Tribolium castaneum: one gene and its partners. The protein of the gene in region 7 interacts with the protein of the main gene of each other region in a biochemical or structural test. Links are inferred from orthologs where the notes say so. Each region holds a gene or a part of one and is shown on either strand. Other genes may lie near its edges. The genes, in order: ubiquitin-conjugating enzyme E2 G1, Ubc7, eukaryotic translation initiation factor 4B, elgi, ubiquitin-conjugating enzyme E2 J1, protein dj-1beta and park.

Region 1 (3,368 bases), on a different chromosome or scaffold from region 7:
TTAAAGCGAAAGCCAAAAGAACTAGACGAAGTAGGACATTCTTGGGGCACTTTTTTACAACAAATCTAAATCTGTGATCATCCAAGACGTTCTCTTGATAACACTCAACTTTGATTCGTGAAAAAATTGTTAAAAAAGTTTTGTTAAAAATTTGTTTCAATAAAAATTTATATGATTATGTTACGACTAATGTGTAAACTAGCTGTTAAGTTTGTAAACTAGCCAAAGCATTAGCTATTTTAACATAAAACGCACTTTCAAATAAAATAGCGGCTAGTTTACAAACTAGCTAATAACCTTGGCTAATTTACTTGACAGATAAAATGGTTTATAAATTTTACAAGACTTTCTCTGGTTACTATTAAAACCGTATTTTCTGGTAACACAAGTTATACAATTTTTTAGCTAGTTGACAAACTAACCAACTCACTGGGCTAACTTATGTGAATAAATTGAAGTTATGAAATCTTGTTATATAAACTAATTAAAACAATGGATATTTTATCTTGTTTTTAAACCACCCAACTTACCAACCTTCTGACAACTCGGACTTACAATTAATAAAATGCGAACATAAAATTCCATTTTATCTTTCAAGTAAATTAGCCGAGGACTGTAGGTACTCTACATACTAGCCGCTATTTTAGTTAAAATTGCATTTTCTATTAAAATAGCCAACGGTTTGGCTAGTTTACAAACTAGCCAAGTTTATACATTAGCCGTAACACTGGCCAATGCTTTGGCTAGTTTACAAACTAACCAACTAATTTACAAACTAACCAGTTAGTTTACAAACTAGCCAGTTAGTTTACAAACTAACCAGCTAGTTTATAAGCTAACCAGTTAGTCTACAAACTAACCAGTTAGTTTACAAACTAGCCAAGTTTACACATTAGCCGTAACACTGACCAATGCTTTGGCTAGTTTACAAGCTAGCCAAGTTTATACTTTAGCCGTAATAAATACAAGGTAAGGAAAAACACAACAAGAAACAATAGAAAAAAATAACTTATTATTCAAATTATTATTATTATTATTATTATTCAAATTATTCAAGAGCTGAATATTCACAATAATGCCTCTTCAACTCTTCTATCTTCAAAATTAAAAACTACTACTGTTTAATAATTATTTGGTCAGCAAAATAGACAGACCCTTTTGAAACTAAAGCAACCTATTTTATTTGTCATGCGTCAAAATTCGTCGAAAATCGTAAAATTCTCGTAAACTCCAAAACTCTCTTTTCAAAAGTCGCACACTTCAAATTTCCCGCAACCGGGCGTAGATTTCTTCCCTTCCACCCGAGACTAGCACCCGTCGGCCATAATCCAACCCCGGACGCAAACCAACACCAACATACCATATGTTTTTAGGTGACTCAAATGATCCAATGCGGTCCTATTTGGTAGTAACACCGGCCATCTTTTCCCAGAAAACTGTGTTTGTTTCTTAATTTTAGCTCTAAATTAAGTTTGTAATTAATGTCAGAACCACAGTCAGCCCTTCTACTAAGAAAACAGCTAGCAGGTGAGTCACGAAAACGATTTAAATTCATTCTTTCATCGCCGACAAAGCACAAAGAAATACGATGCCATCGACACCAAACTCGGCCCGAAATCCACAAAACGATCAATTATAACCCCAAAATTTCAACCCGACACGACCCCGGCCACATGCAGCCACCCACCCCCGAAACTTGGGGCCCCCTGTCGGCGAATACACCCCAACCGACGCACCTAACCCCTCAAACACGGGGGGCCCCCACGATTCTAACCCCAACTGTCAAAAAATCTCTGACATTTGCATCCCTCATTTCATGAAAAATTCGTGAAAGTCGCTCGTACGAGCGATGACCTTAAGGTCGTGTTATTTTAATAATGAAGTTTTGGTTTGTTTCCAGAATTGAACAAAAACCCCGTCGAGGGCTTTTCTGCTGGGCTAATCGACGATAATGACATTTATAGATGGGAAGTGCTAATAATCGGCCCTCCGGACACGCTTTAGTAAGTTTTTTAATCGTTAAAAAAATTTGAGGTTAGGAACGCGAATGTGTTGCAGCGAAGGAGGTTTCTTCAAATGCCACCTCTATTTCCCCAAAGAATATCCACTCAGGCCGCCCAAAATGAAATTCGTGACAGAAATATGGCACCCTAACAGTAAGCAACCCCCAGGGGGGCTCACAGAATTAATTGAGTGTCATTTTAGTCGATAAAAATGGCGACGTGTGTATATCAATCCTACACGAGCCAGGGGATGATAAGTTCGGTTATGAAAAAGCGTCAGAAAGGTGGCTGCCAGTTCATACTGTAGAGACTATTTTAATATCCGTTATTTCAATGTTAGCCGACCCAAACGATGAATCACCTGCGAATGTCGATGCTGCGGTAAGAGAAAAAATAGCGTGTGTATCACTTGACTAATTGGGGAATTCCAGAAAGAGTGGCGGGAAATGTACGGCGAATTCAAACGAAAAGTAGCACGATGTGTCCGAAAGTCCCAAGAGGAATGTTAGTACATTAAACCAATTTCACAAAACGGTTTGATTCTTAATTGAAAAATTCGCATTTTTTATATTACCTGGAATCGAGTCCGTTGCTTTTTTCTTAATTTTTTTTCACGATCTCAAAGAGAGTCGGATTTTTCTTTTCAATAAAATAATATCATTCAAATTTCTGTGGGTCTAATTCAAGTTTTCAGCGTGAATGTGGTATTGTAAAACGAAAAGCGATCGTCAAGATTCAAATGTTGTCTTAATTGTAATACTTAAGACATTTGTCGAAAACACTACTTGTAACTGCTATTAGTTTATGTAAATTTCAACTGTAACACTGTAGGAATCATAAGTTAAGTAAATTTTATTAATAAATCTATCGTTATTAATAATTGGACATTTACCTAAAATCCCGAGTTGGCAAGAATGCGTCCCGTCAAACAGCCTTCAAATAGTGCAGCGCCCGAAACGGTGAGTTTTTCACACCATTTACTTGCAAAATTAATTTTTAATTGACTTGATTCGACTCCACGTCCTCTCTACCTTAGGCCAAAGTTGCTTCATTTACAGAATTTTCACAAATCTCAGCAATACAAAAAATCCTGTAAATGAAATCGACTTTATTTCATATTGCTAGTGAGAGGATTCTGAAAAAATCGCACTTAAAGTTCAGAATTATTCCATTGCATTAAACCTGTTGTAAATTGGTCTTTAAATAAACTACACACAAATGAATAGTACAATTTTACATATTCATACATTATATTTTTTCTTATTGCTTGCAAAATACATTCATTTGTACTGCTTTGATGTAATTTATTTTAGTTTTAACTAAAGTTAAACAAATAACAATATCTCTAATCATTTGTGCGTATTA
Region 2 (2,689 bases), on a different chromosome or scaffold from region 7:
CGAAAGCCAATAAACAAAACAGGTTGAAAAAAAACTCTAATAAAAAATTTAGGCTTTTTTGTTGAAAGTCTTTATTTAATGCGATTTGTTTGGAACATATTTTACGAGTTAATTTTGGGGCACTTCCTGTTGTCGTAGCAACTTGAGATTTTACATGCACACGTAACTTTTGGAGCACAATTACGTCATGTACTTCGATTCCTGATTTAAAAATGTGCAGTGCTATCTCGGTTCCTGAGGGAGATACGGGAACGGGACCTATTCCATTCGATAGCCCAGGAAAAATACTACGGGGCGGTAGGGTTTTCAAAAGGACAGAACCACCCCTCTATCTCCAACAGAAACGAAGATATTTCGCATTTTGTAAATTGCAGATTTTCTTCAATTTTTATAAAAATTTTGATAATGAAATAAAATTTTAGTAAAATTCAGCAAAATTTTAAAAATGGATTTCGTATCAGGATCACAGGAACGCAAAAGGGTAATGAGAAATTATAAATAACTTAAAATACACGCAGATGTATAACTGGTTGCATGTAAACGCCGCTAAAAATTTCGTGGCCTCTTTGCGTTCCTATGATCCTGATACGAAATCCATTTTTAAAATTTTGCAGAATTTCACATAAATTTTCTAGCACTCACAAATTTTTTTATAAAAACTGAAGAAAATCTGAAATTCACAAAATGCGAAATATCTTCGTTCCTGTTAGAGATAGAGGGGCGGTGAAAACCCTACTGAGCCGTAGTATTTTTCCTGGGCTATCGAATGGGATAGGTCCCGTTCCCGTATCTCAATCAGGAACCGAGGTAGCACTGCACATTTTTTAATCGGGAATCGAAGTACATGACGTAATAGTGCTCCAAAAGTTATGTAAACATGTAAAATCTCAAGTTGCTAACATAACAGAAAGTGCCTCAAACTTAAACTTTAAAACGTCTTAAACTATTTTTTTTTAAATTGTAGGTAGTGACATTTGGGTGTCAAATCTTAAAGTACCTTTTATAGAGATCTATAAAACATTTAAAAATAATAAAATCTAAGGTAGTGACATCTAAGCAATGACTGCAAAACTACGCTCTTATAGTAACCTGTAAATTGTCAAAGTACCATCTACTGAGTCTGATCTATAGCTGTTCGATGGAGTTGGTGATTGCAGTGCACTTTTTTTTAAGAATTGACAAACGCTCACGTAAAATATTATAAAGAATAATTAAATTCATTCAATGCACATTTTTGGGTGCTCATATTGTTCAAATATTGATAAAAAATGGCAGGCTCAGCTCTAAGACGCCTTATGGCCGAGTACAAGCGTAAGATGCAAGCCTAACCTCAAACTATTTGCATTCGTTTTATGTTTCTAGAACTGACTCTGAACCCCCCAGAAGGTATCATTGCTGGTCCAATAAACGAAGAAAATTTCTTCGAGTGGGAAGCGTTGATAACGTAAGTTGTCTTTGTAGGGAAACTTTCATATGACGGGTTTTTAGTGGCCCTGAGGGGACATGTTTTGAGGGCGGTGTTTTCCCAGCTAAACTCATTTTCCCCCCGGACTATCCCTTAAGCCCTCCTAAAATGCAGTTCACCTGCGAAATGTTTCACCCTAATAGTAAGTATATTAGGGTTTTTGTAACAGGAGATGAATCAGCAGATTTTAGTTTATGCTGATGGGCGAGTATGTATTTCCATTTTGCACGCCCCTGGAGATGACCCTATGGGCTATGAGTCAAGTGCTGAGAGATGGTCTCCTGTACAGAGTGTTGAAAAAATTCTTCTCTCAGTTGTCAGCATGCTTGCAGGTACGTTTCTTCACAAAACAGTAACAAAATTCAACATGATTTTTAGAACCTAATGATGAGAGTGGAGCAAATGTTGATGCTGCGAAAATGTGGCGGGAAAATAGGGAGGAATTTAACAGAATAGCGGAGCGGATTGTAAGGCGAACGCTTGGGATTCCTACGTGAATTTTTACAAATTTTAACTGAGAGTTACGTCTGTTTGTTACAATTTTAATAATTTATGGGGATTAAAGTTTAGTTTTAAAGTTCAAGACTAAGGGCCTGGCTTGTTACCGCGCTAAAGTGAGAAAAAAATTTATTTCAATATATTATTTCTGAACAACAGTTAAACCATAAACTTAGTCTGTTAGGAACCTAAGCTATTGAAATAAATACAGCAGCATCCATTCACATCAGGAGTCTTAGTCTTGTCTAGCGCAAAACCCCGTTTTGTGACTAACATATTCACAACCTAATAAGAAATACGTTATTTTCTGGCTTAACTACTATCATGTGCGTTTGCTTCCTTATAAATAAGTTATTGGCTTAAAAACTACAGCTGACTTTCCAAGCATAACAATACTAAAATCACATTAAAACTTTGGTCTGAAAGTTAATTGCACAAATTTAACAAAACAACAAAATAAATAACTATAAATATGAAAAAGAAAGTGAAAACCTCAGGACTGCCGAGGATTTGTGTTATTCAAAACAATGTAATTGTTCAGAGGTATGTTGGAAACGATAGGTGCTTGGACTTCTTCTTCCTGATAATCGCGTCGTATCGCTGGAGTAGGGATTCTAGGAGGGACTTGTTCATTACTTGTATCTTCTACATCTATCAGATGCTCTGAATAATAATGCGGAGTGTTCAAGTAGTCGATCATTCTCCTCGGCAATGGAAGACTGGGGA
Region 3 (4,233 bases), on a different chromosome or scaffold from region 7:
GTCAAATTGTAAACGTAAGAGCACATCATAATAAAGGAAAATACTTTTGTTTTGTGAGAAAAAGAGATGAACGTAAAGATGAAACATAACTTCAAACTTTAGCGTTGAATCCTTAGATGACTTACTTCTTAAATTATAAAAAAATAAACGAAAACATTTAATTTATGTCTAAAAATTTTTAGTTAACTGAGATTGTTTAGTAAAGTCCCGAAAAACATTGTTAATAAAAATCATGGCCACTGCGAATCCAGTAGGATTTGCGCACGTCCAATATTTTTGACTAGAAAATACATAAATTTGGTGATTTTTGGAAAAATTATGTCCATTTTCGGTCAAAAACGTGCTCAAAGTCACAAAAAAGATGAAAACAATTTTAAAATTGTAGAATCAACTTATACGCCCGGTATCTTTTGATGAAATCTGGTAAAAAATTAGAGAATTAAATTGAAAAAAAGTGGAAGAAAATGTTTTCTCGAGCTAATTCGCCGACTTTTGAACCGAAAGTATTTGCGTTTTAGGTAAATTATTGCAATTATATAGTTTGTAATGTTGATTTATTCAAAAAGTTTGTGTTAAAATATCTGCAAAACACGGTCAGGACCTAGGGCCTTGGTGGCCTAGTGGTATAAGCGCCACTTACGACGCAGGAGGTCGGGGTTCGAACTCGGATCAGAGTAAAAATTTTTCTATGAAAAAAAGTTTGGAAAAGGTAAGGAAACAACACGTAAGCAAAAATAAGAAAATGAGAGAACACATAGACGTTTAAACGTAAAGCGGAGCATAAAACTGACAGAAATAAGAAAATAATGCGGCAAAAGGTAAGTACGTAAAGGCGCCAAATTGTAAACGTAAGAGCACATTATAATAAAGGGAAAATACTTTTGTTTTGAGAGAAAAAGAGATAAACGTAAAGGTCAAACATAACTTCAAACTTTCGCGTTGAATCCTTAGATGACTTACTTCTTAAATTATAAAAAAATAAACGAAAAAACATTGAAAAACATTGTTAATAAAAATCATGGCCACTGCGAATCCAGCAGGATTTGCGCACGTCCAATATTTTTGACTAGAAAATACATAAATTTGGTGATTTTTAGAGAAATTATGTCCATTTTCGGTCAAAAACGTGCTGAAAGTCACAAAAAAGGTAAAAACAATTTTAAAATTGTAGAATCAACTTATACGCCCCGTATCTTTTGACGAAATCTGGTAAAAAATTAGAGAATTAAATTGAAAAAAAAGTGGAAGAAAATTTTTTCTCGAGCTAATTCGCCGACTTTTGAACTGAAAGTATTTGCGTTTTAGGTGAATTATTGCCATAAAATGTTTAACCAAGTGTTTTTATTCGGGTGTTTACACAATTTTAACCCGAAATTTTGGACTACAAGTCGTTTTGTGATTATTTTTTGCCGATTATTGGATATAATTTGAACTTGGCGCTGTCGTGGCCCCCACCCTGCGTCCGTTGACATGTCAAGAATCTGACATTTTCTACGTCTAGTACGTCAGTGACAGTGCTTTTACAATAAATTAAATTTGAAATTGTTAAAAAACTGTTTATTGTTATTGTAAATACTAGCAATGGCTTCAGGTAAGTTTCCCCAACATGTTCCCCCTTGTCCCGCCTTTGGGAACGCGCTGGGAGCGCGAATCCCGTGCAGACCGCGTGTAGTGGCGACCTTATTGTACGCTGAAATTTTCCGAATTCCAGGCAAAAAGGGCAAAAAGAACAAAGGCAAAACGCTGGCGTTGAGCGACTTCCTGCAGGAGACGCCCGGCCCTGTGGCCACCATGCCCATAAGGAAGTCGACGATGAATTGGGCCGACGAAGTGGAGGATAATCATGGTAGAGTGTACTTAACCTCTAAGCTGTGCATGTGGAAGCATTTTGGCGATCGATCTGTGCGCGATGGTTGCCGTTTGTTTGAAATTCTATTAATAATTCAATCTGAAGTGGGAATGGCTTGTTTTTCGGGTGTCAAAATTCGTTTTTAGCCTCAAGGTTTGATCCAGATAATTGACCTTTACGGTTTCAGATGTGTATGACCCACGCTCGGCCAAAGCAAGTGTTGTGTTGCCCACAGCGCCCAAGGCGTCGCGGGACTTTGACGATATTATTGATAAAGTTCCACAGGAGCCCCCATTTATCGCATATCTGACCAATCTGCCGTATGATGTCGACGAGAGCGAAATTGCGGCGTTTTTCAAGAACATGAAGGTAAAAATAATAAACAGAAAAGCCTCCCTGAACTAGGTCTTTAAAAATTTAAAAATACATAATTTAAACTAAACTATTGTTATAGACATGGTTGATACTTTTTTTCACCAATAGGTGGCAGTAGAGTTCCTATATTGTCCAATAAAGGGACTCTAAATGGCAAAATTTCGATTTTTGGAAATCTTGACTTGACAGATTTCCGATTATTGTGCGATTTTAATAATAATAATAATAATTTTTTTAATGTTTTTTTCAACTAAGTAAGATTTTGCTTTGAATTTAAAATAACCTTTGTTTCAGATTTCGCACATGCGAATCCCTAAAGACGAAAGACCCGGCGAAGCGCCCCGATTAAAAGGTTTCGGTTACGTAGAATTCGAAGATAGAGAAAGTTTATTAAATGCCTTGGTTATTCCCGATACTGTAAGTAAATCAAAAAAATAAATAAATAAAAATTCGAATAAAAAAAATATTGAAATAAAAATCAAAACACAAAAAATAGACAATCAAGAATAGACGGATACGAATCGACGTCGCCACAGATTACGACAATGACAAAAGAAGAGGTGGCCGTATGGACATGAACCGAGATCGTGGTGGAAGAAGTGACATGTCGTCATTTGGGGACTGGAGATCGGGTCCAAGACAGGAAAATTCAGACATGGAGCGGAGAGGATTCAGCAGAGATAGAGAGCGTGATGGTTGGTTTATATTTTGTTATTTGTTTTAATAGTACAGTAGGTATACTACATAATACAGAAAATGAGCCGCTGAATTCAATGGAACAAAGCGCATTGCTCTACGACTTTTAGTTTTCGAGTTATGAATTTTTTTAATGAATAAAATTTTTCACTATGACAAATGGCCACCCTAAATTTAGGCAAAAATTTTTAAATTTTTAATTCGTGTGAAAAATTGATATATTATGTAAAATGAGCCGTAGAATTCAACCGAACAAACCGCATTGCTCTACGAATTTTAGTTTTTTTTTTATGAATTTTTTTAGTGAAAAACTTTGATCGCCTCTGTAGCCGGAACCGTTGCCCGGAGCGGCTCCGGGTTTGGTCGAAACAATAGCTAAAATTAAGCGCTATCAGATATTTTTTTGTTCGTTGCTCTAAGTCTTACAGTTTCCGAGAAAAACGCAAAAAAAGGTTTCCATTTTCACTTTTTTTCAATTTTCAACCGCTAATTACGGCGAAACTATTAGAGTTATCGAGAAACGGAAAAATGGAGGACAACCGGAATAAAAAACTCTACAAAATGGCATAGGACTCAAGGCGATATCTCGCAAAAAAATTTTCAATTTTCAAACGCCGATTACGGCCAAACTAAAAGAGTTAGGAGAAAATGCTTTTTTAGATTGGAAAGAGCACATCAAAATCTATAAGATAGAATCGGTTTTATTTGATTTAGAGACACTTTAAAAATTGACCGATTTTAAGGGGGGGGTGTTAACTTTTTTTTAATTTTTTTTATTTTCTCATTTTTGGCTAAACTATTCGAAAAAGTGGAACTATTTTGATCCATTCCTATGCAAAATGATCCGGGGAATCGATTGGCATCGAGAAAATTGCCAAATTCCCAATAGTTTTTTAGTTATGAATTTTTTAAAATTTTCCCAATTTTTGCATTTGTCTCCAATTTGCTCGAAAACTATTAGTCGGAGAACAATAATTTTTTTTGAAAAAGATAGATAATTTAAAGAGCTTTCCAACGATAATACACTTCATGGGGTTATCTCTGATAGTTCCGGAGCTATTGCTTGACAAAAGTTCCGGGTACCCAAAATCGACAAAAACTGCGACGAAAATTGAAAAAATCAAACATCAAAAAATCGAACATATGGACTTTTTGTGGACTAAAAACAACTTTTGTGGGTTGTTAAGACATGTAGAAGTCCATAAAAATTTACTAGAGTGAGTTTAAAAATTTTTTTTTTCGCCTCTTTGAAGTTAAGTGTATTATTACTCAGGAAATTTTAGCAAAAAAATTGAAAATTTTAAATTTCGTGA
Region 4 (4,255 bases), on a different chromosome or scaffold from region 7:
AAAAAATTCTCAAATCAAATTTACGGCCTGTTTCAACTCTCAACTTGAATCCTGGGTATTCAAGTGCCGGTCGTGAACACGTAGGATCCGCAATTTTACTGTTTTTAGGCGGTGTTTTAATCGCGTTATTATTTCTCGTGTCCGAATTCGTGTTTTACTTTTACAAACGGGGTCGTAATCACATTAACATATAAAAATTTACTTGTTTATTACAAGAATTGGCAGCACATAAGAACTACAAAATGCCCAACAGAAGTTAAGTACATTTAAGCCTCAATATTAATCACATTACAAAATAAATAAACATCGCACCCCCCAAAACCCTAACAAAAATTAACTGCAAGAAGCTACACAAATGTATTTAGCTCTTTGAGTTCCTTTGCTAGTCCTCAAAACGTAGGGGAGCTTCGAGTAGAATTTAGTGTTTGATATTTCCATACCTCCATTCAAAAAATTTAGAAATTAAATCACATTTCTGACGTGACTAGTGTTATGTCAGACCAAATCCGATCGGATGTAGGAACGACTTTGTTGTGAATTTTTGAGATCAAATGTCAGATCATTAAACTATACATAACTAAAACGAAACAAAACGGGAAAACCGCACATCCACCAACATTCAAGTCTGCGTCAGCGTTTCCGTTATTGTTGAAAAATCAATATTAACAGCAAATTCTTTGAAAATGCAAAAGTAATCAATTATCCTGGCGGCAGGAATTATTGATGACTTTACGCATTATAAAATCGACAAATGAACACGTTCTGGAACAAAATTGATGATGCAGTCAACGTTTATAATAATTTCTTGATTGCAAAAAGTAAGTTCAATAACACTGGTCTGCAAAAAAATTCTCCCTATTATTATAGGCACTCATCATATATATATGATGCTCGAAGACACAAACTTTTTGTGTAATAAAAAATAAAATGTAAGTATTTTTTAAATTTGGCCTTGCAATCGTTATTAAAGACTTGACTGATTGGCTTCTCCTCCAATTGGAAAATTTAAGGATTGCTATAATATTTACAACAAAAATTATGTGTAAAATACAAAAAATCAATAAAACAATTAAAAATCCTGGTCGTTGATGACGTCACTTTCAATATTCGTGACGCTCCCGGGAGTTTAGACACAGTCAATAATTATTAATGGTTAGATCTCTCATTGAAAGTATAAATTACATTATTATTATTTTTTAAAGTGCATGAATAATTTATTAAATTTATAATTTACATGCGAATACAATCAAAAACACAAGAAAAACGTAACAAAAACAGTTGAAGAGAATTAAATTTTCTACAAACGACGTTTAAAGCCCCTCAAGCGGCGAATTAGTTTCATTTTTACCGGTGTTTAAATGACCCATTAAAGCTATTTATACGTAAACGGGTGAAAATGTTTTAATAAAGTAGACCACAGCCTTAATTTACTTTTGGTTCATGAATAATGGCACATTGCAGTAAGTTACAAAACAGTTAATTTGTTCAAGCTGAATAATCCTGTATCATTAGTGCACTTCCTGTCAATTTTCTAATTTTACGAATTCTAATTGATAAAATTGACTGCATCACCACCAGAACGGAACAATTTGTGGCACTTACAGACCCCAGATTTTATAATAAAGCAGTGAGAAAGATTATGATTAAACTTAATGTAAATTAATGTATTTAAAAGGAATGTAATTAAAAAAAATAAAAACAAAGAGGGTTACTCTATACCGTGAGCAAAAATCATAACTAAACCTGGCTCTACCATCATGTCTTCGCCCATATGCGTATTGTCGCACGCCAGTACCAGCACAGCCTGCTTGCCCGGTACTCTTTTACAAACATAGTTTTCGTATTGTCTCCTATTGTTTTGCCTGGTCTCCAGCGAGCTCAAGCCGGGGGGCCACCTCCTCTCGTGACAATTTTCCATTAGATCGTCTAATATGTGGTTGGGGCACCCCATCTCAGTTAACGTCCTTCTAATCATTCTCTGGAAGGAAATTATGAAAATTTCGCCACTTGTTGATTGAACCTACTTGAAGAACTTCATCTGGTGTCGAGATCATCCCTCCCCATCGGGTGACTCGCGCCCTTTGGAGAAAGTTGCTCCACCTTAAGACTTCATCTCTCTCCATTGCATCAGCTATTGCCCTCATTGAAGGGTTCGATATCCTCATGGCCCTCATGAACTCCTTCAGCAGCTGCATTTCGCGCTTTTGCTCGTTGATTAGGAAGCGCTGCTCGGTGATTTCCTGCTGGAAGTCGTTCATTTTCTGCTGCTGGGTCTGTATCAGCGCTCGCAGTTCTTTCACGCAATTGTGGTCTTTCAACTCATCTTTAGGAATCACTAAACCACAGCCCTTCTCACACGGTAAAGGTCTCTTAGGATTATGTTCGCATTCTTCAAGGTGGTTCGAGAGAGAGTCTAATTTTAATACACGCGTACAGCCATACTGAGCGTTATCACAATTTATACACAGTCTGGAACAAAATATTGAATCGAACGGTTTCATTTCAGACTTTTTGATTACCTAGAAAGCAAGTTTCGTAAAATTCGGGGCACTGGGCGCAGTTGCGCTGATGTGACACTTTGTCGGTCCACGGGGCATGTGGGCTGTCTTGTGATCCATTCGGTTATGCAGGACTTGCAAAATGCATGCTCGCACACAGGTGCCTGCAAAACCAGTAAGACTTTTTCCATTAAAAAAATAAGTAAACACACCTGCAAGGGGTCCTCCAGTACTCCCGAACAAATGGGGCACACCAATTCCTCATCTACATCTCCTTGAAACCTATTAATATCAAAGCCCATTTTAACAGTAACGACCCATCACAATTTGCACGGATTTTAGCACTGCGATTTATTTATAAATTGTAAAATCATATGTGACAAATGTCACCCATCAACAAAATGTCTGACACAGAAACAAAAAATTTAGGAAGTTTTGTCTGTTAGGTTGGTCAGGCGTGATGTTTCAGCTAACCTAATTTTTAAGTGCGTATTTATTTTAACTTTTTATGCTTACAAATAAAAAAATATTGGATTAATACGTGTTATTAACAAAGAACAGTGGTCACATATCGATTTATTTGGTGAATTGTATATTACAACATAGTTTTGTAGGGGTCGTAGTCATGAGTAAGCCAGTTGTTTCCAAACAAAAATCCAAAAAATACTACTTTAAAAAAACTTCCAACAAAAGACTGAGCTTGGACGTGAACTTGCGGGGCTTCCTCTGCAGTTGTAACAACAGGGAAAAGGACTGCATTAAGGAATCTTACAATTTACTAAACGAATATGCTGACAAATTGTACCAAGAGAGCAACGAACCTGAAGCTGAGCAAGACATTGACGACTCGTTGGCTAAAGAAATATCCGAACTGAAGCAAGACAAGAGTGAAAAACGATTCCAGGTTATAGAATCTGGTGCCAAAAATTTCCTATTCATTAGGACGAGTTTGGAGAATCCGGTTGAGCTAGCAGAGGCGATTATAAAAGATGTTGATGGGAGTAAGACCCAAAGAACGAAATTTTTGCTGAGACTGATTCCTGTGGAAATTACGTGCAAGGCGAATGTGAGTGATATTGTCAACGCATTTGTGCCCCTCGCCCAGAAACACTTTGTGGAGTCCCCGCAAACGTTTTGTGTGATCTTCAACCACCGGAATAATAATGTTGTTTCGCGGGATGAAGTCATAAAATTAATTGCAGCGAAAGTGTCCGAGCTGAGGCCTGATCATAAAGTTGATCTTAAAGAGGCAAAAGTGGCTATTATTGTTGAAGTGATAAAGGGGTTTGCGTTTTTAAGTGTTATACCTGACTATCTTAAGCACAAAAAGTATAATTTATTGTCACTTTGTAGTCAAGAACAAGTAGCTGATTGTAATTAATGTTGCAATAAAATTTTCTATTAATATAAAAATTTTATTTCCAAAGTTTTGTTCTAGAACAGATACATGGTTGCATTGCTACAACATGAGTACACATAGTGTAGGTTTGACTATTACCATTGTTTAAAATTTCAAAGTTGCATCATAAAATTCAAAACATTCGTCAATTTCAAGAAGTTAATAAACATTAAAGTAATATATGGTAAAAGTTTAATATCTTTATGCTTAATGGTAAATAAATCTTTGTACAAATAGGAAAAGAAATAGAAAAAATACAGTATTTTAAATGCACTGTGAACATTAAGCTCAAAAAAATGAAACAAATACCACTTCCTAAAAGATTTCATTGTTAATTATACTATCGCTACTTTATTAC
Region 5 (4,022 bases), on a different chromosome or scaffold from region 7:
TGGTTTGTATACAAAACTTTAATTTGCAATTTTACATAATCTAATACAAAAAACTGACTACCACTTTTCGTAAGTTTGACCTAGAGAAAAATTTTGGCAATTTTCACATATTATACCGAGCAACTGTTAATGATTGTGACTTTTGTGGTCAAGTTGATAACGAATTTGTAAACTTATGACTGTCAGATGAAACAGCTCCATACAAAAAGCTAGCAGGGAGGCCAATAACTCAATGTTGCTAATACATTTTTTTGCCTCGATCATTAAAAGTCACAGTGACACCGAATTATGGTAGGAGATATCTTTTAGAAAAAAAATCCTCATACCAGATGGATCTAATCTGTTGTTTAGGGTTTTCCCCTAATTTTTTTCGATACCTATGGTTTGTTATACTATTTCTATCCAATAATTAAGTGAAAAACAAGTTACTAACACTCCGTGATTCAAGTAGTATCGGACCAAATTTTAATTTTTCCTTTAAAAAGTTTTATTTTTCGTTTTGATGAATCACAATATTTTGGATTAAGCGCCTATTAATAATCAACTACGAATATTTACATTTACCTGAGAAAAATTGTAAACCCTTCGTCTAGTGAATGTCTTCAAGCGACCAGAAACAAATCCACTATCAACACTAAATAATTAGTAGAACACAAACCAAAAACGATTATGAACACATAACAAACGTTTTTAAACGAAATTAATAATAAATCTTTAGCACAACACGTTTTTACTTCGGATTTGACAACACCACAGAACATGACAGGTGCAAAATCGGCGGGGAATTACTGTAGTGCTGAAATACTACCAACCTAACAGTACCTAGGCACTAAACACCCAGATCTAAGTGATTTTATTACAGTCGCAGGCCTCGTAAAATTACGTGAAACACCTTGTATTTGCAATTGGGTGATTTTGTTTAGTTCACTCTATAATCTGTATATCTAAGCCAGCTCTAACGAAATATACAGAGTTGAAAGTGGTATTGTTTTTTCTAACCTCAATCATTTTAAACTACTGACGACTCACGTTAAATAAAACTGAAAAATAACCACTTATCTACAAATTACCTACCTTTTAAATTCCTGATAGACGTTTCACCAATCTCAACGAGCCACAACGTTTCTGCTGTTGAAAGTCCACGTTTGTAATTTGCAGAATCAGCTGATTGTTTTGACAGTTCGCCTAAACAAGAAACATGACAAGTTTTTGTACCCGTTTCGGCACTTCTTAAATATTTCTGTACAAAATTAGTGTTGTCTTTATCCTTACTTTTAGTACAAACGTTCAGTTTATTAGTGATTGAGACCTACCAAAGCATGTCGTTAGAAAATAAGTATAACCTAAAAAGCCCAGGTAAGAAATCGGATATTTAAGTGATTCTCGACAAATTTCCAATGTAAACAGGGGTGAAACGTCTCATGCGCGAAGCGCGAGAACTGGCCGAACCCACAGAAGAATATTTCGCCCATCCGTTGGAAGACAACTTGTTTGAATGGCATTTCACAGTGCGAGGCCCCCCTAGCACGGAGTTTGAGGGCGGTTTCTACCACGGACGTATTCTTTTACCCTCACAGTATCCCATGCAGCCCCCCAATATTATTTTGTTAACAGTGAGTCAATTTTGTAATAATTGTTCATTGTTATTTCATTCTGCAAACTCGTAGCCAAATGGGCGCTTCGAGGTGAACAAAAAAATTTGCTTGTCTATCTCTGGACATCACCCGGAGAGCTGGCAACCGTCGTGGTCGATAAGAACAGCCTTGTTGGCTTTAATTGCTTTCATGCCGACTCCTGCAGCCGGCACGATTGGTTCCTTGGACTACACCCCAGAAGAAAGACAGATTTTAGCAAAGAAATCCATCAATTGGGAGTGTCAAATTTGCGGTAAAATTGCAGAGACGCTTTCTTCGCAGTCAAAATCGTCAAATATTACTCAGGAAGAGGCTTCCCTTATCCAGCAGATTGCTCTCAAGGTGAGTAAATAATTTTTTTAATTGAAGACTTTTTCGCAAAAGAAAACGCGAGTATTTATATTTTTTTAAATCTGTAAACTATATTTAAAAAAATAGGCTTTTGGGATTTAAAAACTATTTTTTAATCGTACTGAAAAATCTGCAAATAATTTCAAAAGACTTATAGTTTTTACCAGCGAATAGGGATGGTTTTTACCATGTTTTTATGTTTTTGTGTGTTTCAACATGTTTTTCAGTCCGAAACGCAGTTCTTTCGCGTAATATCTAAAAAGTAATTTGCTATCAAAACCACATGTTTATGTGTCATTTCTGTTGTTTTAAGGTATTTTCTTATCAACAATTTAACATTTTTAAGGACATATTTTTGTTATATGGTATACGAGTGGTGTAAATCTTATTTTAACGAAAGGTACGTTATTTCTGAACAATTTTTATATCTCATAATTTTTTGTATCAGCATTGGTTTTTGAGTACAAAAATAATTTAAGTAATTTCTAAGGTTGCCATCTAATACAAAGACTGACCCAAAAGTAGCGTACAAAATTTATATCTTTGTTATGTCATTAAAAAAAAAACAGGTCGATTTAATTTTTTTAAATGCTACATTTTGATTATATTATATTTATGATGTCATTCGTTTTTGAGTTGTGACATAATTCTTAATTTTTTTTTAATGACAACTGACATTTTTGTTCACTGTTTTAGAAAGTAAAGATGTGCTTTTTCTAAAACAGTAAACAAAAATGTCAGTTATAATCTAGCTGATAATAAAAAACAAAATTAAAAATTAAACATAATGAGCTTTATTTCTTTGTTCTCGATTTATTTTATAAGCGGCAATTGTTTTTTATATTTTTTTATAATTATCATGAAAATACTTAAGAACTAATAGGAAGACTTTACACAAAAAAATAAGAATAATAAGAACGAGAAGATAAAGCTTTTTGTGTAATACTCTCACTAACTTTTATAACTTTTTTATTTTATTTTCTTCTTTCTTTTTAATTGTTTTATACTTATCAGAAAGATAGAAATGTATACTATCTAAAACACCAATCAAAAATATCAGTTGTCATTTAAAAAAATTAAAAATGACGTCGTTACTCAAAAAAGAATGATGTCAGAAATATCAATATGATGTCAAAATGTAGCATTTAAAGAAATAAAAACGCGTGTTTGAGGATTTTTTTGAAAAATGATTCAAAACAAAGATACGATTTTTATGCATGACTTTTGGTTCAGTCTTTATTTTTCTTTCTCTTAAATTTTTTTATACTTACCAGGAAGTCAGAAATATATTACCTATAAAAAACTATAAAAACACCAAAATCGTATTTTCTCTCAAAATTAGCTATTATAAATTATTCAATTACTTTATGAGAGATCTAAGCATTCATAACTATTCTAAATTAAATTGGACGTGTTGGGGGATTTTTTTGAAAAATGATACGGTTTTGCATTACTTATGTTTTAGCTTCTTTATGTAAGTTTATGTTAATTATTTATTTATGTTTATGTTTATTATGTAAATAATTAATTAGTTATTAATTTAAACAAAAAAAGGCATTTTCCACACAGTTGTGAAGTGGTTGTGAACTTATCTAAAACAACTAATTAATGTCTACACTGTTGTTTTGGAAAATTAATAAGATATATTAGATTTTATAAGACACAGAAATTGTTCAAAAATAATGGATCTTTCAAATAAAAAAATGGGTATAAAAGAATGAACATATAAGAAAAATATGGCTTCAGATATATAAAATTGGTTATAAGTAAGTACTTTACAATAGTAAACAAATGAAATATCACGCAAGTTACGTGTATCAAATTTCATTTAAAAAAGTAAGTTGTGAAGAAAAACCAAAATAATTTTTGAACTTTTAAACAGTGTAACTTTGGTTAAATCGCTTTATTTTGATTTTTGACCTGCGGAGTCTCTCGTTCCTTTTTGTCATCTTTTCGTTACACCCTGTATTATTCTTGATTGTTTTATTGACTGGGCAAAGAGGTTATAGACATGTGATTCTATTTTCAACAAGAATA
Region 6 (2,814 bases), on a different chromosome or scaffold from region 7:
TCCGTATAATCTATAATAGTACATGTCGTTGTACAAACTTAGTTATAAGAGTGCGCAAAAGTGGATATTATAATACAATTAAAAAACCACTTACTTAAAAGTAACATGGAAAATATTGCTTTAATTAAATCAGGCGCCCAGCTTTCGCCGGGCAATCAAGAAATTTTCATAGACTCATTTGAATTGTTCCCCTCCACGGAAATCTTTAGTAAAAGGCGAAAGATTTATTCGCACTGAAGGGAAACCAGAGTGATGTTTGAAAATCAGCCTTTCGTTTATATCCTGGCCCGTACGTATGATATTCGTGACTCGTTACATTTAGCGCCACCTATCCACCACCACAACAAGTACCAACAACAACAAATCAAAGTTTTGTAGTTTTACCTTCCGGAGAGCAATTATAAGCATAATGCTGGTCACAAACACACCAATTGCCAGAAGAATGGAAAAAGCAGCAAACATTACAAGAGTATTGCGGACTAAAACAACAAATTGAGGACAAATGGGCGATTAAATGGTGGGCTTACCGTGACGGTTTCCCACGTAAATAAACTGGTAGGAAATAACGTAATAGCCGGTGTGGACGGACCCTGGGACTGCCATTGAGTAGCAGTAGAGATCGAAGCAACTTGTGATAACTGTGAAGATGGACAACAGCTAAAACATGAAATTTATGAAAATGTGATATTTAAACAAAGGGGGCGTAACATACCAAAGAAAACACTCCGATTAATAGGGAGGATCTCTGGACGTCCAAAATATAAGATTCGGTTATGATTGGTTTTCTGTACCAAGGGATTTTCAACGATTTTATACTTCGGCTACTTCGCAAATTCGCACTGCTGCGTGTTGTGACGTGTGAGTACACCGAGGGGGTGCCAGTCGTTGGCGATTTCTTGCCGTAATTCATGTTTTTATGTATTTTTTAACAATTAAATCAATAAATAAAGGTATGACACATTTGGGTAGGTAAACAAATAGGTGTGGCAAACGTCAAATTCCGCCGCCAACCTTGCAACACCAACTAACTAGGTGTGTTAATTACAAGGATGTAATTACCGTAATTAAACAAAATCAGTCATTATGACATTAATTTAGGGAGTACGGACACAAGGGGAATTACGTGTATTTATTTCCAATTTTATTTTTTGCAAAATATGCAATTTTGTTGAACAACCTAACGCGAACAAAATCCCCAAACTGGCATGACCTACTCCAATGTCAGTCATATGTCAAAGTTTTAGGGCTCCGCTCACTCGCTTTAATAGGTTAGGATTAGCGGTGCGTTTTATTTCGAATATGAGCACAAAAGCCCTTGTTTTCCTCGCCGGAGGCGCTGAAGAAATGGAGGCTGTAATCGCAATTGACGTACTTCGCAGAGGCGGTGTAAATTAACCCCTACTAAAAAAAAACACAAATTTTTCCTGTTATTTTTAGGTGGAAGTAACAGTTGCAGGCCTACCGGACGCCAACATCATCAAGTGCAGCCGCGGTGTCAACATTAAACCTGACATTTCAATCTGTGAGGCCAAAGGCCCCTTTGACGCAATTGTCTTACCTGGGGGGCTAGGAGGGGCGAAGGCTTTGGCCGCGTCTAAAGAAGTAGGGGAGTTGATTCGGGAGCAGGAGGCGGCGGGGCGACTCACGGGGGCGATTTGTGCCGGTTTGTAATAATTTACTGTGAAATTTCCTTAATTATACAGGGTGACCCAAGGGTGTGTAATCTATTTGATAAAACTACAAGGTATTCAGAATTTTTCTATTGCAAATTTGGCGGAAAATATTCATAGGCGACTTCGTTATGATTTTTCAAAAATTGGTCTTTTTTATAACCAGAAGTTGAATAATTCCGTTATACAACACCCTGTGTATAATAAAAATATTTTTAGTTTGTGGATTTTAAGTCGATCTATCGGATAATGAAAACAGCATAGCAATATTTCAAATAGCAAAGTTACACAGCCCTGTGTCACCTGTATAATTGGTTGCCTATGTTAAAATTATGGGGTTGTAGCGCCCACGGCCTTGAAGGCCCATGGGGTTTATGTGGGCAAGACTGTGACGTCGTACCCAGCCATGGAGGCGCAAATGCTCGAAGGTGGTCAATATAAATACAAAAAGGAGCCAGTTGTGGTTGATGGGACTCTGGTTACAAGTCAAGGGCCTGGCACTGCCTTCGTCTTCGCCCTAACCCTAGTGGACAAACTTGTCGGAAAGGACAAGGCGGCAGAAGTGGCCAAAGCCATGCTTTTGTCGTATTAACAATTTATTACTATGGCACTAGAAACAAATAAATAACAATAATTAGTCGTTCTTCACGTGTTTGTTCTTATTATTCTTAAGCGCGCTCTTGCACTCTTCGTACAAGTTATTGAGATCGAAAGCCCCTTTAACGTTCTCACTCGAGAAAAAGAATTTCAAAATGTTGCCTTTTGAGTCAATAGCCGGCCTCCGCACCACTTCTTTCCCTTCTTTAAACAGAATTGTCGTGGGTAACTGCTTACTTAAACTGCTGTCATTCACGCGATATTTCTGTGCGGCATCGGGGTATCGCCCCACGTCGATTTTCCCAAACTTGAAATTCTCCAAGTGATATTCGGTGCTCAGTTTTGCGAAAACCGGGGCGAAGTTCACACAAGCCGGGTTCCAGACGGTGTAAAACGTGACCAACCAATAGCCGTCCCGACTACGTGCCAATTCCTCGTCCAAGCCTTGCATGCCCCGGAAATAAATGACATTGTCAGGGCCGGAATACGTGGGCTCGGGAAATAGCAACGCCCCCACTGAAATCACCCAATTAAATGCGACAATTAT
Region 7 (4,057 bases):
GAGACTTTCCCCCAAATCACAAAGACTGTACAAGTGGTGTACCCCACAGTGGCCTCCTCGTTCTTAGAAGCCGTCAAAAACACCAAAAACCCCAGACCAATCCACCAAATAATCCCAGAAATACCCCAAAACGCCGCCTGTGTCTTCCTCTCCATCAACCGCTTCCATCCCGCCAAGAAACTGGACTTGGCCATCAATGCGATGGAAATTTTGCAAAGAATCACCTCGGAAAATGAACGTAAAGGCATTTTCTTGGTTATGGCCGGGGGCTACGACCCCCAATCGTCCATAAACGCCAGTTATTTCACCGACTTGGAGAAACTCGTCGCTGAGAAGGGGCTCCAAGACAAGATTATTTTCCTCAAGTCGCCCCCCGATGACGTCAAGACGGAACTTCTGATGGCGTGTGACTGCCTCGTTTACACGCCCGTGAAGGAGCACTTCGGCATTGTCCCCCTCGAGGCAATGACGGTGGCTAAGCCCGTCATTGCGTGCAACAGTGGGGGCCCCCGAGAGACAGTCGACCACGGAAACACGGGCTATTTATGCGAACCGACCCCCGACAGTTTAGCGCAATTCATGTACAGGATATTCAAGTCGGATAACAAGGCAATGGGGCTCAAGGGGCGCAAAGTGTTGCAGGAGAAATTCTCAAATGAGAGTTTTGCAAGGAATTTGAAGAAAATCCTTGATCACACTAGTGTAAATAAGAAGTTTATTTAAATAAATATTTTACTTAGTCCAAGAGACCTTAGGTATGTCAAAGTGTTCCGTGAGCCCGTCCAAGTGTTGGTTGAATTTTTCTACTCTTTCTTTGTGTGTCATTGACGCTTTTTCCAAGATGCGTTGAGTTTGCTGCAAATTGTAACAATCAGGCAACAAATTTAACACGAAATGTGATTTATTTACCATTTTTTCTTGCTGTTTTAAGAACGCAAGTTCGGCTTTTGTTTTTTGCCTCGCAGGCTTTGATTCCGGTGTCTCACTTTCGACAATTTTGCTCACTTGCTCTAACAACTTCTTATCTTTCTTCTTCTTTTTCTTTTTAATGCTGTTATCACCTTTTAATTGCAATTTTCCCTTGCAAACTTGTGCGTATGGGTCGTCACTTTGCCCCATCTTGTTTGTTTTGACGTTTCTGGAATTTTTCACACAACAACCAACGTAACGGATCGACAATCCCCAAGAATGAGGTTATGAAATTTCCTCACAAAAAATGTTTTTTTCTAAAAATAAGCCCGGCCGCGGTTACCACAGATGATGAGTTTTATTATCAACGTAATTAAAGATTTGTTGCATAAGATGTTACAATTTCTGTCATTTAGTAGAAAAACGCTGAGCAATAATTTGAGTATTTACATAAAAACCAACACAGGGAATACGCTTTCGGTCGATTTGGACCCCACCTGGGACATAAAAGAGGTGAAAGAGTTCGTTGCGCCCCAATTGGGACTGAAACCAGGCGAGGTAAAGATTATTTTCGCTGGAAAAGAGCTGGGAGACAACATTAGTATTTCTGTGAGTTTTGCCCTCAATACCACTAGTCGTAACCAGTTAGTCATTCTAGGAATGTGATTTGGGCCAACAAAGCACCCTCCACGCTATCAAAATCACCAAAAAGCCCAACCCTCCCACTTTAAACAATGCCGTAATTGAGGAAAGTGACGAGGGCAAACCTCTGTGTGAGACCTTATCAGATTTGAGTTTTTCAAACGATGATTACGAGGAAGGGCCCACCGAGCAACGCAAAGTCCACTTTTTTGTCTATTGCCCCACGTGTAAAGCCCTCAAAAATGGGAAATTGCGAGTTCGGTGCCACTTTTGCAAATCGGGGGCTTTCACGGTGCACTCAGACCCCCAAAACTGGAATGATGTGCTGCAGCCAAAGCAGATAACCGGCCTTTGTGAGAATAGCCCCGAATTGTGCGCCAACGTACGTTTTTTAATTATTTAATTGAAATTAGTCAAAAACACTCCACACTAAAAATAGTACTGGACAAAATTTAATTTTCCTTTAAAATGTTTATAGTCAAAATATTTAAAGTTAAAAATATTTACGCTTACTAAGGAGCATTGCGAAAATTTTTAAAATGTTTGCAATCGTAATGTCCGCTCACCTAACTAGAAGCAGCAGATTCATTAACACCATAAGAGCGAGCTAAACCGAAATTCTGGTACAGGGAAATCAATGTTAATTTTAAAAACTAAAAGTCGCTGAAGACAATTAAAAACAATATACGCCAAAATATTTTCAGATACTTTTTTAAATTTCTTTTTCTATCATAAAGTTAAAATTTTCTACAGTTACCAAATTTATTGAATGTAAATCTAAATTTGAAATTTGGGTTACTACTGAGGGTCTCTATAACATTTTTAGAAAATGTGTTCCAGCTATAAATCAGGTATCTAGCCCAGTCAAGTTAGACCAGACAAGAATTGGGCGGTTGGTGGCAAAAATTCCTAGTGAGTTGGAATTTTTTAAACGCGTTCTTTAGATAGACAGATATTAAAAATCCCAGAGGATGGAGGCTGAGCTCGAGATGGGGGAGAGGGTTAAGTGTGTCATTTTTCGTTTTATTTCTTATACCACGGAAACAATCATTGTCGGTTTTCACCTTCTTACAAAAATTAAAGCTGATGAAATTTCCTACAAAAATTGGTCCTATGCACTTTTGTTATAGGACTACCCGTAAGCGAGTTATAGGACTGAAAAGAAATAATTATTTAAAAAAAATCTGCTTCAAAGTAGAATGTCTTGTGACTTGAAAAAATCCAAATTTTACAACTGTTTCAAATTGAAATGATGAAATCTCTAGTATTGTGTAAAAATTGTTATAATAAAAATTTTTTAAACGTCCTTGACTGATTGATTTTAAAAAAATTCACGACGATAAGACCAAGTTCCTTAAAAAGTTTAGTTAAAAGTTAATGTAATAAACATCATCAGGCTTTTTACTCGTTCAAATTCTTGGAAGTAAACATTAAAAGATGGAATTAACAATGACTTAATGACAACAACACATGCACACACCACCGCCTTTTGACACCAGTTGGTGTCTTAAAGTGAACAAGACAGCGTTTTAAAAATGGTGGATGCGCCGGGAGAAATTATCAAATTAAACATTTCCAAATACTACTTTGAATAACTTTAGTCAAAAATGTACAAGTGTACAGAAAATATAAGAAAAACAAGTGTAAAACAATTTACTATTAACAAACTGCAAATTAAAAAAATGGTGGATGCGCCGGAAAAATTAATCAATATTCAAAAAAAATAAAAATAGATGTTTGTTGTTATTTTCTGACAAATGTATACATGTTTAAAATACTTTTTTATCAAACATTAACGCAAGTAGAGCAAACTGACATGAAATAAGGCAGTGGTATTTTGACAATTTATTGAAATAACGTTATGAAACGTAAGTTTTATGGGAATTTTTGAATGTAATCATTTCTGGACAAAGACATGACTCTAGAGGCAAAACGGCTCATTTATCAGCGTTTATCAGCAAAACATTTCTATCTTAGTGACCTCTATAACACCGTAAAGTTTGGCAACATCATTTTGAACGCTGTATAAGGAAGAGAAAATTATGTAAAAATAAGTAAGAATCGCTCCATAATCAAAACGACACACAAGAATAATAGTTTAGATTTTTTATTAGATTACAATATTAATAATAAATTATAAACAAAGACAATTGGATTACCATAACTTTTCAATTCTCCTTTTTTACCTGCTTTTTTTTCTATCTTTGTACCTGTCTTAAATCATTTCTTTTAATTAAGTGTCAATAGAAATTACTAGTAGGTAGCACATAAGTAGGTAAATTTAATTTTTAATTCTTTTAATATTACCTTTTTTGAGATAAAAATGTATTCAACGGGAATCTACTAAAGCGCTACAATAATATTTTGTTTGTGCGTGAGATGCGTACAAAAGCAAAGATAGACAGTTTCGTTTGGTAACAGAAAATACTTGATCGATTTAACGACCTTCGCTAGAAATATTTTAGTTTAGCTTGCTCTTAAAACACAAATTAAGAACGACTATGAT

What was found.
Region 1: the proteins of park (region 7) and ubiquitin-conjugating enzyme E2 G1 form a complex in vitro, tested with the Homo sapiens proteins (5 studies listed by BioGRID). The link is inferred for Tribolium castaneum from reciprocal best matches to the Homo sapiens genes PRKN and UBE2G1.
Region 2: the proteins of park (region 7) and Ubc7 form a complex in vitro, tested with the Homo sapiens proteins (6 studies listed by BioGRID). The link is inferred for Tribolium castaneum from reciprocal best matches to the Homo sapiens genes PRKN and UBE2G2.
Region 3: of the proteins of park (region 7) and eukaryotic translation initiation factor 4B, one has a biochemical effect on the other in vitro, tested with the Homo sapiens proteins (2 studies listed by BioGRID). The link is inferred for Tribolium castaneum from reciprocal best matches to the Homo sapiens genes PRKN and EIF4B.
Region 4: the proteins of park (region 7) and elgi form a complex in vitro, tested with the Homo sapiens proteins (2 studies listed by BioGRID, with this or other methods). The link is inferred for Tribolium castaneum from reciprocal best matches to the Homo sapiens genes PRKN and RNF41.
Region 5: the proteins of park (region 7) and ubiquitin-conjugating enzyme E2 J1 form a complex in vitro, tested with the Homo sapiens proteins (4 studies listed by BioGRID). The link is inferred for Tribolium castaneum from reciprocal best matches to the Homo sapiens genes PRKN and UBE2J1.
Region 6: the proteins of park (region 7) and protein dj-1beta form a complex in vitro, tested with the Homo sapiens proteins (2 studies listed by BioGRID, with this or other methods). The link is inferred for Tribolium castaneum from reciprocal best matches to the Homo sapiens genes PRKN and PARK7.

The regions. Positions count from the first base shown.
Region 1 is NC_087401.1:11,951,521-11,954,888, forward strand, and holds ubiquitin-conjugating enzyme E2 G1, read left to right. Parts: upstream 1-1,180; 5' UTR 1,181-1,363; coding exon of another isoform or gene 1,364-1,373; 5' UTR 1,374-1,405; intron 1,406-1,459; 5' UTR 1,460-1,481; coding exon 1,482-1,527; intron 1,528-1,900; coding exon 1,901-2,003; intron 2,004-2,058; coding exon 2,059-2,156; intron 2,157-2,205; coding exon 2,206-2,384; intron 2,385-2,434; coding exon 2,435-2,512; 3' UTR 2,513-2,868; downstream 2,869-3,368. UniProt on the Homo sapiens protein: Accepts ubiquitin from the E1 complex and catalyzes its covalent attachment to other proteins. In vitro catalyzes 'Lys-48'-, as well as 'Lys-63'-linked polyubiquitination. May be involved in degradation of muscle-specific proteins.
Region 2 is NC_087394.1:30,806,899-30,809,587, reverse strand, and holds Ubc7 (ubiquitin-conjugating enzyme E2 G2), read left to right. Parts: upstream 1-1,148; 5' UTR 1,149-1,268; coding exon 1,269-1,311; intron 1,312-1,362; coding exon 1,363-1,444; intron 1,445-1,488; coding exon 1,489-1,607; intron 1,608-1,656; coding exon 1,657-1,797; intron 1,798-1,843; coding exon 1,844-1,962; 3' UTR 1,963-2,189; downstream 2,190-2,689. Other genes in the region: uncharacterized protein LOC662537, read right to left, coding at 2,457-2,689. UniProt on the Homo sapiens protein: Accepts ubiquitin from the E1 complex and catalyzes its covalent attachment to other proteins. In vitro catalyzes 'Lys-48'-linked polyubiquitination. Involved in endoplasmic reticulum-associated degradation (ERAD).
Region 3 is NC_087400.1:562,330-566,562, reverse strand, and holds the start of eukaryotic translation initiation factor 4B, read left to right. Parts: upstream 1-1,433; 5' UTR 1,434-1,581; coding exon 1,582-1,591; intron 1,592-1,711; coding exon 1,712-1,846; intron 1,847-2,036; coding exon 2,037-2,218; intron 2,219-2,518; coding exon 2,519-2,641; intron 2,642-2,720; coding exon 2,721-2,919; intron 2,920-4,233. UniProt on the Homo sapiens protein: Required for the binding of mRNA to ribosomes. Functions in close association with EIF4-F and EIF4-A. Binds near the 5'-terminal cap of mRNA in presence of EIF-4F and ATP.
Region 4 is NC_087394.1:31,074,009-31,078,263, reverse strand, and holds elgi (E3 ubiquitin-protein ligase NRDP1), read right to left. Parts: upstream 2,801-4,255; coding exon 2,520-2,800; intron 2,470-2,519; coding exon 2,025-2,469; intron 1,979-2,024; coding exon 1,709-1,978; 3' UTR 195-1,708; downstream 1-194. Other genes in the region: uncharacterized protein LOC103312325, read left to right, coding at 1-194; THUMP domain-containing protein 1 homolog, read left to right, coding at 3,124-3,879. UniProt on the Homo sapiens protein: Acts as E3 ubiquitin-protein ligase and regulates the degradation of target proteins. Polyubiquitinates MYD88. Negatively regulates MYD88-dependent production of pro-inflammatory cytokines.
Region 5 is NC_087394.1:12,101,754-12,105,775, forward strand, and holds the start of ubiquitin-conjugating enzyme E2 J1, read left to right. Parts: upstream 1-1,222; 5' UTR 1,223-1,319; coding exon 1,320-1,356; intron 1,357-1,407; coding exon 1,408-1,613; intron 1,614-1,667; coding exon 1,668-1,976; intron 1,977-4,022. UniProt on the Homo sapiens protein: Catalyzes the covalent attachment of ubiquitin to other proteins. Functions in the selective degradation of misfolded membrane proteins from the endoplasmic reticulum (ERAD) and is essential for cells to recover from ER stress.
Region 6 is NC_087401.1:11,635,873-11,638,686, forward strand, and holds protein dj-1beta, read left to right. Parts: upstream 1-1,195; 5' UTR 1,196-1,218; coding exon 1,219-1,386; intron 1,387-1,437; coding exon 1,438-1,663; intron 1,664-2,014; coding exon 2,015-2,262; 3' UTR 2,263-2,304; downstream 2,305-2,814. Other genes in the region: uncharacterized protein pasi2, read right to left, coding at 385-479, 528-657, 713-910; thioredoxin-related transmembrane protein 2 homolog, read right to left, coding at 2,305-2,783. UniProt on the Homo sapiens protein: Multifunctional protein with controversial molecular function which plays an important role in cell protection against oxidative stress and cell death acting as oxidative stress sensor and redox-sensitive chaperone and protease.
Region 7 is NC_087398.1:11,672,335-11,676,391, reverse strand, and holds the start of park (E3 ubiquitin-protein ligase parkin), read left to right. Parts: upstream 1-1,257; coding exon 1,258-1,518; intron 1,519-1,567; coding exon 1,568-1,933; intron 1,934-4,057. Other genes in the region: alpha-1,3/1,6-mannosyltransferase ALG2, read left to right, coding at 1-723; protein FAM32A, read right to left, coding at 733-855, 910-1,119. UniProt on the Homo sapiens protein: Functions within a multiprotein E3 ubiquitin ligase complex, catalyzing the covalent attachment of ubiquitin moieties onto substrate proteins. Substrates include SYT11 and VDAC1.